Linked DNA regions of Oryctolagus cuniculus. The protein of the gene in region 2 interacts with the protein of the main gene of each other region in a pairwise test. Links are inferred from orthologs where the notes say so. Each region holds a gene or a part of one and is shown on either strand. Other genes may lie near its edges.

Region 1 (5,721 bases), on a different chromosome or scaffold from region 2:
TGGGGTGCAGGGCCCAAGCACCTGGGCCATCCTCCACTGCACTCCCTGGCCATAGCAGAGAGCTGGCCTGGAAGAGGGGCAACCGGGACAGAATCCGGCGCCCCGACCGGGACTAGAACCCGGTGTGCCGGCGCCACAAGGTGGAGGATTAGCCTATTGAGCCACGGCGCCGGCTCTAAGTGGAGGATATTTTTATGTCTCATAAATTAGAGTTATGTCTAAGTGCTTGCAAAAGATGTATCATTCTTGGGTGTTTCTTCAAAGTTAATTAAGTTTTTAAAAAGTGAAATTAACTTTGAGATGAGATGACATTGAACAGCCCTTGTCTTGACTGTTGAGGTTTTTTTGTTTTGTCTTTCATGTAAATTGTTGAGCTCTTTACTTAGTATAGAGTTGATCTTCTGTGTATAAAGTTAATTGAAAATGGATCTTTGTGAAGAGTGAGACTGGGAATGGGAGAGGGAGGAGGAGGGGATTGAGAGTGGTTGGGAGGGTGGGTGTGGTGGGAAGAATCACTATATTCTTAAAGTTGTACTTATGAAATGCATGAAGTTTGTATTCCTTATATAAAATACTTTTGGGAGAAAAAAGATATATCCTTGGATTGCTCACTCCTTATAAGGTAAATTACAGTATTTGTGTATGGATCAAGCAGTATTTTTATCACTACAGTTCATTCTAGGCAGCACATTTTTCTTAAGAGGGAACACATATATAGTTATCACCTTAAGTTTAGGTATCTTCTTAAAACTAATTATTGACATGCCAGGTCTTTATTTGTTTTTTACATAGGAGTTTGTGAAATTTCTAAATTCATTATAGATAAGTTCTAAAAAGAGTTGTTAGTATTTAGCAACATATCTGTGTCCAGTTCATCTGTTCTTCAGAATAATTTTTCATCACAGAAAGTAGGATTTAAAATTACTAAATATAGTATAGAAGCATGGCACATAGGAAAGTTTATTTACATTTCTAGGAGGAAAGGATTTACATTTACATTTTTAAAAGCATAAATTGTAATTATAATCATGATCATCATACATAATTACTTATATTTTTTCAGTGTCTCATACTCACCAGATCAATGCAGAATAATTGTGAGAAATATTACTTTAATGATTTTTTTTCTCATTAAATTTTAGGTGAAAAAAAATTATGAAGCTCTAAAACAGAGACAAGATGAGGAGCAGATGGTACAGAGCTCTCCTCCATTATCCGGTGAAGATAATAAATGGGAGCGAGAAAGTCAGGAAACAACCAGGGAACTTCTCAAAGTTAAAGACAGGTTAATTGAAGTAGAAAGAAATGTAAGTAGTTTTAAATTTTTAGTAGGAATAAAGATTTTTAGAAATAAAGGATTGTTAGAAAGTTAGAAAATTTGTCTAATCTGATTTTGTAGTTTTGTCCATTTTATACTTTCTTCACTGAATTGTTTAATAGCAAGTGACTGAAGAACTAATAATTTTTGTATTTACCCTCAAATAAATCCATCAGAAAATATTGTCATCTCTATCTTGGAGGTACGACTGGTAATGATTGTATATTTGCCAGTATTGTATTTGCTGATAAAATACTTTTTCATTGTATATTTTTTTTCCTGCTCTTGAGATATCCTTTCTACTGTCAGCTATTTCTCCTATTCAATATAGACTATAGGAAACCCAAATTGAAGTGCTAAACTATAATAGTATTTCACATATATAATTGAAAAGTGGTTCAACCTCCTGGTGTCAAGATGGCATTTATAAATGTGTCAGTATTTAATATTATTCCAATGTAAATATTTTACCCTCTTATTTGAACAAAGGAATACAAGAGAACAGTACTACAACCCATCTTAAACAGCTCTGATTTTAATATGTGAATCAAATCATGATGTGCCCACATGTATATATAGCTTAAAAGTGAATGTTATCTTTGTCTTCTAATATAAAACCGATCTGTTGTGATAATCAGTGTTAACCTTTTGCATATAGGCCTTTTGCATATTAAAATGTTATTTCTTTTTCTTTTAAGATTTTATTTGAGAGGTAGAGTTACGGACAGTGGAAGGGAGAGACAGAGAGAAAGGTCTTCCGTCCGTTGGTTCACTCCCCAAATGGCCGCAATGGCTGGAGCTGCACCAATCCGAGGCCAGGAGCCGGGTGCCTCTGCCTGGTCTTCCGTGTGGGTGCAGGGCCCCAAGGACTTGGGCCATATTCTGCTGCTTTCCCAGGCTACAGCAGAGAGCTGGATTGGAAGAGGAGCAGCCGAGATTCGAACTGGTGCCCAAATGGGATGCCAGTGCCACAGACAGAGGATTAACCCAGTGCGCCAAGGCACCGGCCCCTTAAAATGTTATTTCTGTTATCTGGTGGATTTTTTTGTTGATGCCCTTTTAAAATTTTTATTTATTTTCATTATATTTGAAAGACAAAGATAGAAGAGAGAGCTTCTATCCACTGGTTCACTCCCTATATTCCCACAATAACCAGGACTGGGCTGAAGCCAGCAACCCAGAATTCAATTCAGATCCCCCATGTTGGTGGCAGGGACCCAGATATTTGAACCATCACTTGCTGCCTCCTAGGATGTATGTTAGTAAGAGGCTAGAATCAGGAGAAGAGCCAGAACTTGAACTTAGCACCCTGATAAGGGATGTAAGCATCTCAGACAGGGTCTTAACCACTGCACCAGATGCCCACCATTGTGGATAGTTTTTGATGCTAATTTTTTAATGAATTTTTAAAAAAGATTTATTTTGAAAGAGTTCAGAGAGAGAAGGAGAGACAGAGAGATATATCTTCCATCTGCTGGTTCACTTTCCAGATGGCCTCAATGGCTGTGGCTGAACCATTCAGGAGCCAGAAGCTTCTTCTGGGTTTCCCATGTGGGTGGCACAGGCCTAGGTAATTGGGTCAACATCCACTGCTTTCCCAGGCCATTAGGAGGGAGCTGGATTGGAAATGGAGCAGCCAGGATATGAACTGATGCCTATATGGAATGCCAGTGCCATAAGCAGCAGCTTTGCCAGCTGTGCCACAATGCCTACTTCATGAATTTTTATTTAGAAGTAATCCAGAATATATAATACCCATGACAAGCATTTTAATATATATCACTAAATAGAATGATCTGTGATTTGTATAATAATTCACCTGTTTGTAAAATTGAAATATGGCTATATATACTGGAAAAATTGAAATGGTACATTTCATTTGGAGATGCTCCAGAAGTCCTATAGTTATAAAGTTTTAATGAGTGTTTTATCCTGGGAAAAAAAGTAACTGAAGAAAATATGTACCATCTGTTAGGTTTGTTATGGACTAAATTTTTTAAACAGATGGTTAAGATTGTTTCTGTAAAACTGTTTCTCTTCCAAGTATTTGTGTTTGGAAAATGCTTTGTTTTGCCACTACCCCTGGGACTGCCACTCACTTCTATATACATTTGCCTTTAGGTAAATTAGGAAAGTTATACCCTCTTAGCTGAACATTTATTACTTTTGATGGTATTAAAACCATACAACTGACAGCCTCATTCTAGTTTCTTTGTTAAAATACTTATCTTTAGAATGGAATATTTTCAGGATATTACAAAGCAGACAGGACAGTTGCAGCAGTATTTTAGGATTTAGTATTATTTTTTTTCTTAGATTACATTTCTTTTTTATAACTTTTTTAAAGATTTATTTGAAATGTAGAGTTACAGAGAGGGAGAGACAGAGAGAGATCTGCCATCCTCTGGTTCACTCCTCAAATGGCTACAGTGGCCAAGGCTGGGCCAGGATGAAGCCAGGAGCCAGGTGCTTCTTCCAGTTCTCCCACAGGTGAAGGGGCTCAAGGACTTGAGCTGTCTTCTGCTGCTTTCCTAGGCATATTAGCAGGGGGCTGTATTGGAAATGGAGCAACTGGAACTTGAACCAATGTCCATATTGGATGCCGATGCTGCAGGTGGCAGCTTATTCCACTACACCACAACACTGGCACCTGATTAAATTTCTGTTTAAAATTTAGGATAGATAGAATGTTGTAATTTTTTTTTCTCTTTTAAGATTGTTGGGTGTGGTTTGGGAGGGTGGATTATAGTGGTAATAAATATTGGTTGTCTAAAATTCCAGTATGAATATCTGTTAGAATATCATTTAATGTTGCTTTTACCTTTAATACATGTATTTTTTTATTTTTAAGAATGCTACACTACAAGCAGAGAAGCAAGCATTGAAAACTCAACTGAAGCAACTTGAGACACAGAACAATAATTTGCAGGCTCAGATTCTTGCACTTCAGAGGCAGACAGTGTCATTACAAGAACAGAATACCACTCTGCAAACACAGAATGCCAAGCTTCAGGTTGTAATGTGATATTTTGTGGATATGCAGCCAAACTCTTGAATTATGCTATTGAAATAAGTAATGTTACACTTGGAAACAGTGTTTATTAGTGTGTGCATTTAGTAATTAGTTGAAGACATAAAATATTTTTGGGCCATTCCAACCTACCAAAAATTAGCTATTATTATATCAGAGCCTCAAAATATTAATTAAATAATCCTCTCGATAAATATAAATGCATAAAGATAATTTATATTTAAAGTCTTTGTATCCTTTCAACAGTTGATAATCAGCCACAAATATTTGCTTTATGGTACAGTTGCAGCATGTAATTCCTTATTTCATTTTTACAGCTTTCTTATCATTTAGCTATTAGAGAATAATACAACATGGGACTCGTCTTTAGACTTGCTCTTAGCTCAGAGGATCCATCTTTCACATAACACTGCCACAATCTTTTGAAATAAAAAAGTCAAGTTGGAGAAAGTGCAACTCTGAAATCTCTTAAAGAACCAAAAGAAGTTCCCTATCAGAATCTAAAAGTTTTCTTTCAATTATTCTTTTCCAAGTGATAAGTTTGACTTGGACTCTCAAGAAATTTTCTAAAGTAGTTTTTCAGTTCTGTGAGCTCTCAAGTTATAGAAGTGATAACCTAGCATTTCAAATTCTGTACTTTTTAATATGTTGAATACAAATGGTTGCTAATCAGTGGTTGCTAATAAGCTTTCTTTGAAATACATTCAACCCAAAGGATATAGGAGTATATATACTATATGTATCTGTATACCAATTAGAGTTTCTTTAAATTAAAATTGTAATTTTAATTTTTAAACAAGAGCAATATGAACTATTTTTCTTATATCTAGTAACAGTATACTTTCTTATAGGTTGAAAATTCTACCCTCAATTCCCAAAGTACTTCACTTATGAATCAGAATGCACAACTCCTAATCCAGCAGTCTTCTTTAGAAAATGAAAATGAATCTGTAATCAAAGAGCGAGAAGACCTCAAATCTCTCTATGATTCTCTGATCAAAGATCATGAAAAGCTGGAACTTCTTCATGAACGGCAAGCGTTAGAGTATGAATCGCTCATCTCTAAACATGGAACTCTTAAGTCTGCTCATAAAAATCTGGAGGTGGAACATAAAGACCTTGAAGACCGGTAATTTATTATATTTTGTTATGTTAATTTGAAAACAGTTTTCTCTGGCATTATAATAAATTTTGTATATAAGCCACATCCTAGAAATAATTTATGTAGGAAATTTATATAAATTTACATGTGTTTTATGTGATACTTACTAATAAATTTCTTGTTTCATTCCTTTCTGAAGTATTTTCTTTTGTGGAAAAACTATAAGCCAAATACCTAACCTTTTTTTTTTTCCAGTTACAACCAGCTATT
Region 2 (5,721 bases):
CCCTGCAATGACTTGGGGGTAGGAGGATGCAGGGGGGTGAAGCCAGGAACACCATCCAGGTTTCCCAGGTGTATGGCAGGAACCGAATTCCTTGAGCCATCACCACTGCCTCACAAGGTCTGCACAGGCAGGAAGCCAGAGTCAAAGTCAGAGCCAGGCCTTAAACCCAGGTACTCCAGTGTCCTGACCAGTGGTTTAAACACTGTCCCAAACACCTGCCCTGTAGGTATTTTTGACTCACATTTCCCTAGTGTCTGATGACCTTGAACATCTTTTCATATGCTTACTGGCCATTTGTATGTCTGCTTTGGAGGAATGTCTATTTTATTCAGTTTTTAATTGGGTTGTCTTTTTATTGCTGAGTTATAAGAGTTCTTTTTTTTTTTTTTTTTTTTTTTTTTTTTTTTTTTTTTTTTTTGACAGGCAGAGTGGATAGTGAGAGAGACAGAGAGAGAAAGGTCTTCCTTTGCCGTTGGTTCACCCTCCAATGGCCGCCGCTGCAGCCGGCGCACCGCGCTGATCCTGGCAGGAGCCAGGAGCCAGGTGCTTTTCCTGGTCTCCCATGGGGTGCAGGGCCCAAGCACCTGGGCCATCCTCCACTGCACTCCCTGGCCATAGCAGAGAGCTGGCCTGGAAGAGGGGCAACCGGGACAGAATCCGGCGCCCCAACCGGGACTAGAACCCGGTGTGCCGGCGCCGCAAGGTGGAGGATTAGCCTATTGAGCCACGGCGCCGGCTCAGTTATAAGAGTTCTTTACATAACAAACTATAGTTAAAGATTGAGCATGGGTTGTTTTCTTTAAATCTGTGTGTGTGAGACAAACAGAGAAAATATTTGTTGATTACTTCTGAGAGAAGATGCTTGGTGATCAAACATTTTAGAGTTTTATAACACTAGTTGTCTAATTTCATTTTTAAACTTATGGCTTTATATTGTTATCATGAAGGTGTATTGATGTGTTAAGTAATTTTTTCTATGATAATGAACCAAAACATAAGATCATTTTTAATCATAAATGGTACAGTATGAGAAGGGATGATTTTTTAGAATAGGCTAAATATGCTCTGAATTTTTTCAGCTAAGAGAAAATGACAGCAATCAAGCATGCATTACAAAGAGACATCTTTACACCAAATGATGAACGTCTGCTGAGCATTGTGAATGTCTGCAAAGCAGGGAAAAAGAAAAAGAACTGCTTTTTGTGTGCTACAGGTGGGTGTTGATACTTGTCTGTCATTCTTTTATTCCTCAGGGACATTTCTTCCTGTATGAAATATTCTCCCTGTCTCTATAATTGGAACGATGGTTGAGCTGATGAATTAATTTTTAATTGTCTTGTTAAATATTGAGTAGCTACAGAAGAATTTCTGTAACATATATGTAAGGTGTAAAGACTCACTGTAGTGAACACTGTGTACTCAGCCCTCAGCGTAAGAAGGCTGTGTCTGTACCTGTGAAGTCTCCTTTGTGTCCTCCTGAGTCCAATTCCTTTCTCTCCCCCATTAGGAAATAACTGGCATCTGAATTTTGATTTACCATTTCTTTGTCATATTACCATGTATATTTGTCAATGTAGTTAGTTTTTGCATGTCTTTGAGCTTTGCTTCCAGATTGTGGGGAGATTTTGATTGGAATTCTTTTAAAACTATAAGTTGAATCATAGGACATGTATTTGTGACTTTCCCACTTAACATTTTGACATTCTGTTCATGGTCTTTTATCTTTTTAAGATTTATTTTAGGGCCGGCGCCGCGGCTCACTAGGCTAATCCTCTGCCTAGCGGCACTGGCACACCGGGTTGTAGTCCCGGTCGGGGCGCCGGATTCTGTCCCGGTTGCCCCTCTTCCAGGTCAGCCCTCTGCTGTGGCCAGGGAGTGCAGTGGAGGATGGCCCAAGTGCTTGTGCCCTGCACCCCATGGGAGACCAGGAAAAGCACCTGGCTCCTGGCTCCTGCCATCGGATCAGCGCAGTGCGCCGGCCACAGCGCGCCGGCCGCGGCGGCCATTGGAGGGTGAACCAACGGCAAAGGAAGACCTTTCTCTCTGTCTCTCTCTCTCTCACTGTCCACTCTGCCTGTCAAAAAAAAAAAAAAAAAAAAAAAAAAGATTTATTTTAGGCCGGCGCCACGGCTCAGTAGGCTAATCCTCTGCCTTGCGGCACCGGCACCCTGGATTCTAGTCTCGGTTGGGGCGCCGGATTCTGTCCTGGTTGCTCCTCTTCCAGTCCAGCTCTCTGCTGTGGCCCGGGAAGGCAGTGGAGGAAGGCAGTGGTGCTTGGGCCTTGCACCCGCATGGGAGACCAGGAGAAGCACCTGGCTCCTGGCTTCGGATCAGCGTCGTGCGCCGGCTGCAGCCTGCTGGCCGCAGTGGCCATTGGGGGGTGAACCAATGGCAAAGGAAGACCTTTTTCTCTGTCTGTCTCTCTCACTGTCCACTCTGCCTGTCAAAAAAATAAATAAATAAAAATAAATTTAAAAAGATTTATTTTATTTTATTTGAAAAGTAGACTTACAGAGAAAGGGAGGGAGAGATAGAGCATCCATTCATTGGTTCGCTCCCCAAATGGCCACAACAGTCAGCCCTGGGCCAAGCTGAAACCAGGAGCTTCATCCAGTCTCCCATGTAGGTGCAGGGGCCCAAGGACTTGGGCCATCTTCTGCTGCTTTTCCAGGCATATTAGAAGGCAGCTGGATTGGAAGTGAAGCAGCCGGGACTCGAACTGGCACCCATAAGGGATGCCAGCATCATCACAGGCGGAGGCTTAACCTGTTACACCACAGTGCTGCCCTCTTCCTTCTCTTTTTAAAATTTGTTTGAAAAGCAGAGTTACAGAGAGATGGAGAGCGAGAGATCTCATCTGCTGGTTCATTCCATAATGGCCACAACAGCTGAAGCCAGGAGCCTGAAACTCCATCCTGGTCTCCCATGGGGGTGGCAGGGCCCAAGGACTTGGACCATCTTCCACTGCTTTCCCAGGGACATTAGCAGGGAGCTGGGATCGGGAGTGGAGTAGCTGGGACACTACACGGTGCTCATAATGGGATGCTGGTGTCACAGGTGGCAGCCTACTCCACTGTGCCACAATGCCAGCCCCGTATGTTCAAGTATTTAAGTGTTATTTTTCTTCTTTCACTCAGCTGGAATTCTTTCATAGTCACTGCCATGTAGGAGTCTACTGTCTGAGTGGACCCCAGGTCACTGGCGATGAGCTTTGTTCCCAGGTTTTGCTGTTCAGACAGAACTTCTGTGAACATGTTTGTCTCCATCTTCCAGCAGCTACAGGCGGGAATTCTCTAGGGTGGAGCCTTAGCTGTGGAATTCTCCATGTCGCAGATCCGTGAATGATCAGTGCTGCTCTAAGCCAGACTCTTTTCTAGTTTTCACTCCCACAAACTGTGTGTGTTTTTGGTTCTCTACATCCCAGTCAATACTTGGTTTTATTAGATAATTACTTAATTATTGCCCCTTTGAAGGGGGTGAAATAGTATCTCATTGTAATTTAAAATTGTAGGGGCAGGTGCTGTGGTGAAGTGGGTAAAGCCACCACCTGTAGTGCTGGCATCCCATATGGGCACTGGTTCAACTCTTGGCTGCTCCACTTCCGATCCAGCTCTCTGCTATGGCCTGGGAAAGCAGTGGAGGATGGCCCAAAGTCCTTGGGCCCCTGCACACATGTGGGAGACCCAGAGCAAGCTCCTGGCTTTGGATCAGCACAGCTCTGGCAGTTACAGCCAATTGGGGAGTGAACCAGTGGATGGAAGACCTCTCTCTCTCTGCCTCTGCCTCTCCTTCTCTCTCTGTGTAACTCTGACTTTCAAATATATAAATAAATCTTTAAAAATAAAATAAAAATGTATTTTTAACAATGATATTGGATGTCCTTTCATTAATTTATTAAGCATTTAGTTTTCTTGTCTGAAATTTACCTTTTGCTCATTTTTCTGTCATGTTGACTGTGTTTTTACTGAGCTGTACAAATTCTTTATATCATGTAGGTAATCATCTTTTATTGGTTTATGTGCATTGCAGTTTTTCTTGGTCTTTTCATTTTGTATATGATGTCTTTTAGTGAAACATGTAATTTTAATAAATAGATACTAGTTCCTAGTTTTCTCTTTTTGCTTTTTACAGATATCTTTTAAGTAGTTAAAAATATTCTCCTATGTTCTAAAAATTTTATGGCTGGCACCGCGGCTCAATAGGCTAATCCTCCACCTGCAGCGCCGGCACACCAGGTTCTAGTCCTGGTCGGGGCGCCGGATTCTGTCCCGGTTGTCCCTCTTCCAGGCCAGCTCTCTGCTGTGGCCAGGGAGTGCAGTGGAGGATGGCCCAAGTGCTTGGGCCCTGCACCCCATGGGAGACCAGGAGAAGCACCTGGCTCCTGACTTCGGGTCAGCTCGGTGCGCCGTCCGCAGCGCGCCGGTCGTTGTGGCCACTGGGGGGTGAACCAACGGCAAAGGAAGACCTTTCTCTCTGTCTCTCTCTCTCACTGTCCACTCTGCCTGTCAAAATAAATAAATAAATAAAAATTTTATAATTTTGCCTTTCACATTTTTAAATCTTCAATTCTCTGTGTGTGTTTAGACTGATGTGTGTGGGTATTGTCTGTTTCTCAGTTTTCTCTTGTATTGTTTTTATTCTTTTTTTATTTTTTTATTTATTTATTTTTTTTGACAGGCAGAGTAGACAGTGAGAGAGAGAGACAGAGAGAAAGGTCTTCCTTTGCCGTTGGTTCACTCTCCAATGGCTGCTGCGGCCGGCGCGCTGCAGCCAGTGCACCGCGCTGATCCGAAGGAAGGAGCCAGGTGCTTCCTCCTGGTCTCCCATGGGGTGCAGGGCCCAAGCACTTGGGCCATCCTCCACTGCACTCCCGGGCCAGAGCAGAGAGCTGGCCTGGAAGAGGGGCATCCGCGACAGAATCCGGCGCCCCGACCAGGACTAGAACCCGGTGTGCCGGCGCCGCAAGGCGGAGGATTAGCCTAGTGAGCCGCGGCGCCAGCCTGATTTCAGAGATTTTTAAAAGAAAGGACATCTTAGATGAAATGAAGTATTACCTTTTGTATGTACCTTTGGTTTGCCAATACAGTATTTGGTGATTTTGCATCCATATTTACTAGATTCATGGTCCTTTAATTTTCTTTATCACATTATCTTTTTTAGCTTTATAACCAGTTATAAAGTGAATCAAAGAACATTCTATCATTCTCTGTACCCTGGAATAGTTGTGTGTTTGGAATTATTCATTTCTTGAAAGTTTTGCAAAAGATACCTGCAGAGCTGGGTTGGACTAGTTTTTCTGGTGAGAGAGGGAAGATTTTTACTTACCAATGCAATGTCTGTAATAGTTATAGAACTGTCCATTTTTTCTACTCGAGTCAGTTTTGGTAAGTCGCATTTTTTAGGGAATTTTTTTTTTTTTAAGGGAAAATGACTTAGTTTTGAAATGTGTTGGCATTATTCCAATCCATTTTCCATTCAACTGCTAGAGAAATTTTGAAATTTTTTCTTTATTTGAAAGACAGAGACAAATCTCTTGCCTACTGCTTCATTCCCCAAATGCAGGCAATAGCTGGGGCTGAGCCAGCAGCTGGGAACTCAGTCCAGGTCCCCCTCACAGGTGGCAGGGACCCGACTGCTGCTGCCTGCAGGGAGCCTGTTAGCAGGAAGCTGGACTTGGGAGCAGAGCCGGGACTCGAGAACCCAGGCGTCTGAGATGGGATG
Region 3 (5,721 bases), on a different chromosome or scaffold from region 2:
GCACTGCACGAACAGTCACACATACAGAGGGTAATACTTGGTGCTGGACAGGAAACTCAACATAAACAAAGTGCACTGGAGAATATCCAAGGAAATACATTTGAAGAAACTGGCTTGTCTTCCTTCATACCCCAGTTAGCACAAGCTTCATCTCCCTTACTGCCTTCTGAGTCTGGTGCAACCCAGGTATTTCTTTCAACAGAAAGTGATAATAAAATTCCATCAAGCCAGTTTCAGATCCCAGAACTGCAGGATAGGCTTTTGAGAATATCACAACTTATCCAGCCCCAGAAGGATAATTTGAATGCACTTCAAGAACAGTTAGCTACTCAGAGGGAAGCCATCTTTCAGCTCAGACAGGAAGCTCAGGAAGAACAACTTTTACATCGAGAGAGTGAGTGGAAGGGAAGACTATCTCCTGAGCAAGTTGCCACCTCTTCCTTACCCCAAGTAGCACAGCTTCCATTTACTTCATTACCTCTTACTGTATCTGAAAGAACCCAAGAATCTTGTTCAACTAACAGTGATTATACAATCTCTTCAAGCCATTCTGAAATGCCAAGATTGCCTGATAGGCTGTTGGGTTTATCACATAGTGTTTTACCTCAGCAAGATAATTTGATTTCACTTCAGGAACATTTGCATGCACAGGCGAATTCCCTTCCTTCTATTGAAAATACCTCAAAAGAATTTATTTTACCTAGACAAGGTAAATATGAGGAAAAAGTATCTAATGAGCATTTTATCCAAACTCACCATGATGATTTGAAGGCACTTCAACAGCAGTTAGATATCCAGAGGAAAGCCATTCGGTCTAGGCAGGAAGTCCAAGAAGAAGTACTTTTTAAAAGATTAAGTAAATTGGAGAAAAGGGTATCATCTGAACAGATTAGTTCCTCTTCCTTCTTACCCCTTGATGCACTGCCTTTTGCCAGCTCTGATAGAACCCAGAAATCTTTACCAACTGAAAGTAATGGTACTCTTCCCTCAAGTCATCCTGAAATCACAAGATCACAGGATAGGCTTTTGAGTTTTTCACAGCCTATTCATCAACAAGGTAATGTGACAGCACAATTGGACTTACCTGGAGAAGTGTGTTCTAATAAGAGACCTCAAGAAGAACTACTTTTAAACAAAGTAAATAAGCTAAACAAAAGTGAATCTACTGAGCATGCTATCCCTACGTTTTTCAAGGAAACAGAGCATTCATTTATTCCACTACCTTTTGCTGAAGCTAAATCTAAAAGTATATGTGAATTGCATTCATCTAAAAACGAACATGCAGCTCTGCCAAGTGATTCTGTATTTCCAAGGTTTGAAGATAGGCTTTTGAGTTTTTCACAGCCTGTCTTAGCTCAACAAGATAACTTGGGTCTTCAGAAGCAGTTGGGTTTCGAAAGAGAAGTTCTGCATTGTAGCCAGCAAGCCCAAGAAGAATTGCAGGTACAGAGACAAACAGCATTGCAGCAGCAGATCCAGAAACATCAAGAGACTTTGAAGGATTTCTTTAAAGACAATCAGGTATGTTGTAAGGTATATCTAAGAAGTAATGGAAGTTCGGAAACAACTCAGTTTTAACCCTAGGCCTATGAGCTTTTAGTTAATGAGAGTAAGTGGTTTGATTTTAAATATGTTTTAATTTTTAAGCAGTGTAGAAATTAAATTGATAGACCTCACATGAAGTTTATGAGCTTAATGGTTATTTGAAACCAATTAATTTTTTAAGAGGTTTATATTTTTATTTGAAAGGCAGAGTTAACACAGAGAAAGAGAGTGACATCTTCGATTCACTGGTTCACTCCCCAAGTGTCAGCAGTGGCCAGAGCTAGGAGCCAGGAGCTTTTGCCTGGTCTCCCACATGGATTCAGGGGTCCAAGCACTTGGGCCATCTTCCGCTCCTTTCCCAGGTGTATTAGGGAGCAGGATTGGAAGTGGAGCAGCCAGGACTTCAACCAGTGCACATATGGATGCTGCACAGCACTGCAAACCATTGTACCAGGGCTGTCCCCAGAAACCAATGAATTTCTAGTGGAAACTTTGTAAAACAATGTAGCCTTTTATTTGGACATTTGGTATGAGATTTAAACATACCGTAAAATTAAAATTGTAAAAGTAATTGGTTAGCAGAATGTATGTAGTAGATCTTATGCTTTTTATCTATAACATTCTGTTGACATTTATGTGTGAATATGAATCAAGTCCCATTTTTTTCCTCAGGTAACACTATTATTGCCTGTTGTGAAACAGCCATTATTTTAGGATGATGGAGAGCTGGACAGGCTGCTTCTATCTGAATTATTGTAAAGACTCTGCCAAAGTCACTCAGACATTCATTATTTCTCTCCACAGGAGACAAGTGTTTTCTACTAAAAAGGAGTGTATCCATTTTTTATTTTAAATAGCTGCTTTTTGTTCATTTATTTCTTTAGAGATTTACTTATTTGTTTGAGAGGCAGAGTTCCAGACAGAGAGGTCTTCCATCCACTGGTTCCCTCCCCAAATGGACGCAACAGCTGAGCCATTCAGAAGCCAGAAGCTTCTTCCTGGTCTCTCACGTGGGTGCAGGGGCCCAAGCACTAGGGCCATCTTCCGCTGCTTTCCCAGACCATTAGCAGGAAATGGAGCAGCCAAGACTTGAACCAGCACCCATATGGGATGCCAGTACTGCAGGTTGAGGCTTAACCTACTATTCCACAGTGCTAACCCCTACTTTTTTTTATTGAAAACAATATTCTATGAATCCTTTGATGTTCAAGAAAAGTTGAGTTTTTGAGATTGATCATTTGAAGGAAAAGCAATGGCAAATGAAAATGGGGGATCCTTGAGTATGATTGTTTATTGAAAGAAAGATACAGGAGAGGCAAGATTTTAGGTTTAGCGTTATGAATTATTGCATTTTTTGATGGGAATATAACTTTTTCAGTATCTTATTTTTTCTTTTAGCTGTGGGTAGCATGGTAATAGTGCAGTTGGTAGAACTATTTGGTTGAGGTTCTAAATTAAGAAGGAAGATATTAAAAAAAGGGAGATATAAATCTAATGAATTCTTCACATGATCCCTCAATTTGTCCTTATCTGTCCACTTTTTTAGACAAGTAATTCCACAGTTGAAAATGACTTAAAAATGCAGAAGTTGGGGCACTTCGGAGAGTGGCTTCCTCGTATCCAAGACCTTGCAAGCAATGATCAGGAAAATAGTCGTGTAGATAGGAGCAACTCTGATTATAATCAGCTGCTTTCAGAACATACTAGTGCCAAGCAAAGTGGTAAGATATTGCAATTTATTTATTTTTTATTTTTTATTTTATTTTATTTTTTGACTGGCAGAGTGGACAGTGAGAGAGAGAGAGAGAAAGGTCTTCCTTTACCGTTGGTTCACCCTCCAGTGGCCACCGCGCGGCACGCTGTGGCCGGCGCACCGCGCTGATCTGAAGCTGGGAGCCGGGTACTTCTCCTGGTCTCCCATGGGGTGCAGGGCCCAAGCACTTGGGCCATCCTCCACTGCACTCCCGGGCCACAGCAGAGAGCTGGCCTGGAAGAGGGGCAACCGGGACAGAATCTGGCGCCCCGACTGGGACTAGAACCCGATGTGCCGGTGCCGCAGGCGGAGGATTAGCCTATTGAGCCGCAGTGCCAGCCTGATATTGCAATTTATTATAATTATTCTGATTATTATTTGCTCTCATCCTCTGCAGTTTTTTTGTTTGCTTGTTTGTGGTGTGTTTGTTTTGTTTTGTTTTGTTTGCCTAACTTTGTCATTGACTTGATAGGTGAGCATTTGGACAAAGAGTTGGGTAGAAGATCCTCAAAGCCACCTGTAGCAAAAGTTAGATGTGGATTGGAGGTAAACCAACATGAACTTAGTGCTATACAAGAAGTAGAATCACCAGCAAGTGTTAGAACTTCTATACCAGGTAAACAGAGGGCTTGATAAAATATTTTAATAGTCTGCTAGTCTTCTAGATTTTTTTTGGCTGGGTTTATTTTATTTTATTTTATTTTTGTTAATGAAACATAGGCTTTGAATACTTATAATAGGAAAATATTGGTTTTACATATACAGTATTTAAAACTTGAGCTTAAGAAAATGTGGCTTTAAGTAACTAGTCTTTATTTCGTGTATGAATGACACCAATGTACTATATACAGCAGTTCTTCCATGTAGCATATTCTGACACACTTGTTCCCTATTATTTTTGATGTTTACTTCTAAACTTGCTATTTTAGGATGTAACCCAGTTTGTTTTTGTTTTCTTTTTTTCTCTTAATGACTTTTTGCTTTAATACTTTCAGTGCTGTTTTCCTGTATTTTTTATTTAAAAAATTCTAAAAATACTGGCTTTAAGTACAATTAAAATAGGTATATTTTTTCACTATTATTTCTACATCTGAGAACCTAGAAAAATTCTTCCCTATAAACTTTGTTAAGTGGTCCTGTTAGAATTTCTTAGTTATTTTTAGATTTCAAAGTTACCAAATAAATTTCCTGATCAAAATTTAACAAAACAAATCCTTTTGTAAAGGGAAACATACGCTTTTTGTATAGAGAAGTGTAATGAAAACATTGTCTATTTTGGTCTTGAGTCATATGGTACTGTACTTTTGTTTCTGACTGAAAGAATAAGAAAGGTAGAGATTCACAGTGACGCCTAAGAATGAATTCCTTTGTGGCCAGTATCAGCGCATGTCAGGTTAAGCCGCTGCCACTGATGCTGATATTTTACGTTGGAGCACTAGTTGGGGTCCTGGGTGCTCTGCTTCCCATCCAGCTCCCTGCTAATGGCCCTGGGAAAGCAGCACAGTGATCTTGGTGATCAAATGCTTGAACCATTGCCACTCACATACAAGACTCAGATGAGTTCCTGGCTCCTAGCTCCTGGCTTCAGTTTGGTCCAACCCCAGTCTGTGGCTAGTTAGGGAGTGAACCAGTAAATGGAACATCTCTTTGTCTCCCTTTTTTTCTGTCATTCTGCCTTTCAGATAAATAAAAGAAAAAGAAACAGTCCCTTTCTTGCTTCCTCATGATGTCAGTGGAGCATGTGAAGATTTTATTTTACTAGGCTTTGGGAGCTTTTCTGTTTTGCAGTGTTTGACAAACCACAACTGTTTGGGAATTGATCATCAGAGATTTAGTAAATCACGATCATGTCTGAGATTGCAAAAATGTCATTTTGTCTAAAAGAGAAATAACTTTTTCCCTTTCCTCTACTTTTCTCTTTCAACTGTCTTTTTTAAGTGAATGTTATCCAGATGTCAAGCCTTGACCTTCCCTTGTCCATACTTAACCAAACCCAATGAGCCACCAGATCTGATCTCTACTTTGTGAACTCTGCTATCTGTCCCTTCTTTCCATTGCTCTATCACTCCATTATTCTGACTCTCATTTTTTTCCTGGATGGCTGCTACAGCTTGCAGTGTTTGCTGTTTCCAGTCCTGCTTGACTCTAGTCCATTTTCCCATGATATATTCAGCTAATCTCCCTCTCCTTTCTCCTGTTTCGAACTCTAAGGCAGTTTATTTTGTTGTTTGTTTTTTATTTGTTTGAAAGAAAGAAGTAAACAGAGACAAAGAGATTTCATTCCCCAAATGTCCACAGTGATTGGTTTGAGGGTCGGGATTGGGGAAGCAAAACTGGTAGCCAGGATCTCAACCATGTCTCTCACATAGGAGACATCAGGCACTCCTGATGTGGGATTTGAGCATCCTAATCAGCATCTTAAA

The links.
Region 1: the proteins of EXOC1 (region 2) and CCDC88A interact in a two-hybrid assay, tested with the Homo sapiens proteins (2 studies listed by BioGRID and IntAct). The link is inferred for Oryctolagus cuniculus from reciprocal best matches to the Homo sapiens genes EXOC1 and CCDC88A.
Region 3: the proteins of EXOC1 (region 2) and CEP295 interact in a two-hybrid assay, tested with the Homo sapiens proteins (2 studies listed by BioGRID and IntAct). The link is inferred for Oryctolagus cuniculus from reciprocal best matches to the Homo sapiens genes EXOC1 and CEP295.

The regions. Positions count from the first base shown.
Region 1 is NC_091433.1:147,277,284-147,283,004, forward strand, and holds part of CCDC88A (girdin), read left to right. Parts: intron 1-1,142; coding exon 1,143-1,307; intron 1,308-4,169; coding exon 4,170-4,331; intron 4,332-5,200; coding exon 5,201-5,478; intron 5,479-5,706; coding exon 5,707-5,721. UniProt on the Homo sapiens protein: Bifunctional modulator of guanine nucleotide-binding proteins (G proteins). Acts as a non-receptor guanine nucleotide exchange factor which binds to and activates guanine nucleotide-binding protein G(i) alpha subunits.
Region 2 is NC_091439.1:108,633,051-108,638,771, reverse strand, and holds part of EXOC1 (exocyst complex component 1), read left to right. Parts: intron 1-1,079; 5' UTR 1,080-1,089; coding exon 1,090-1,213; intron 1,214-5,721.
Region 3 is NC_091432.1:84,861,211-84,866,931, forward strand, and holds part of CEP295 (centrosomal protein of 295 kDa), read left to right. Parts: coding exon 1-1,521; intron 1,522-3,091; coding exon 3,092-3,266; intron 3,267-3,770; coding exon 3,771-3,914; intron 3,915-5,721. UniProt on the Homo sapiens protein: Centriole-enriched microtubule-binding protein involved in centriole biogenesis.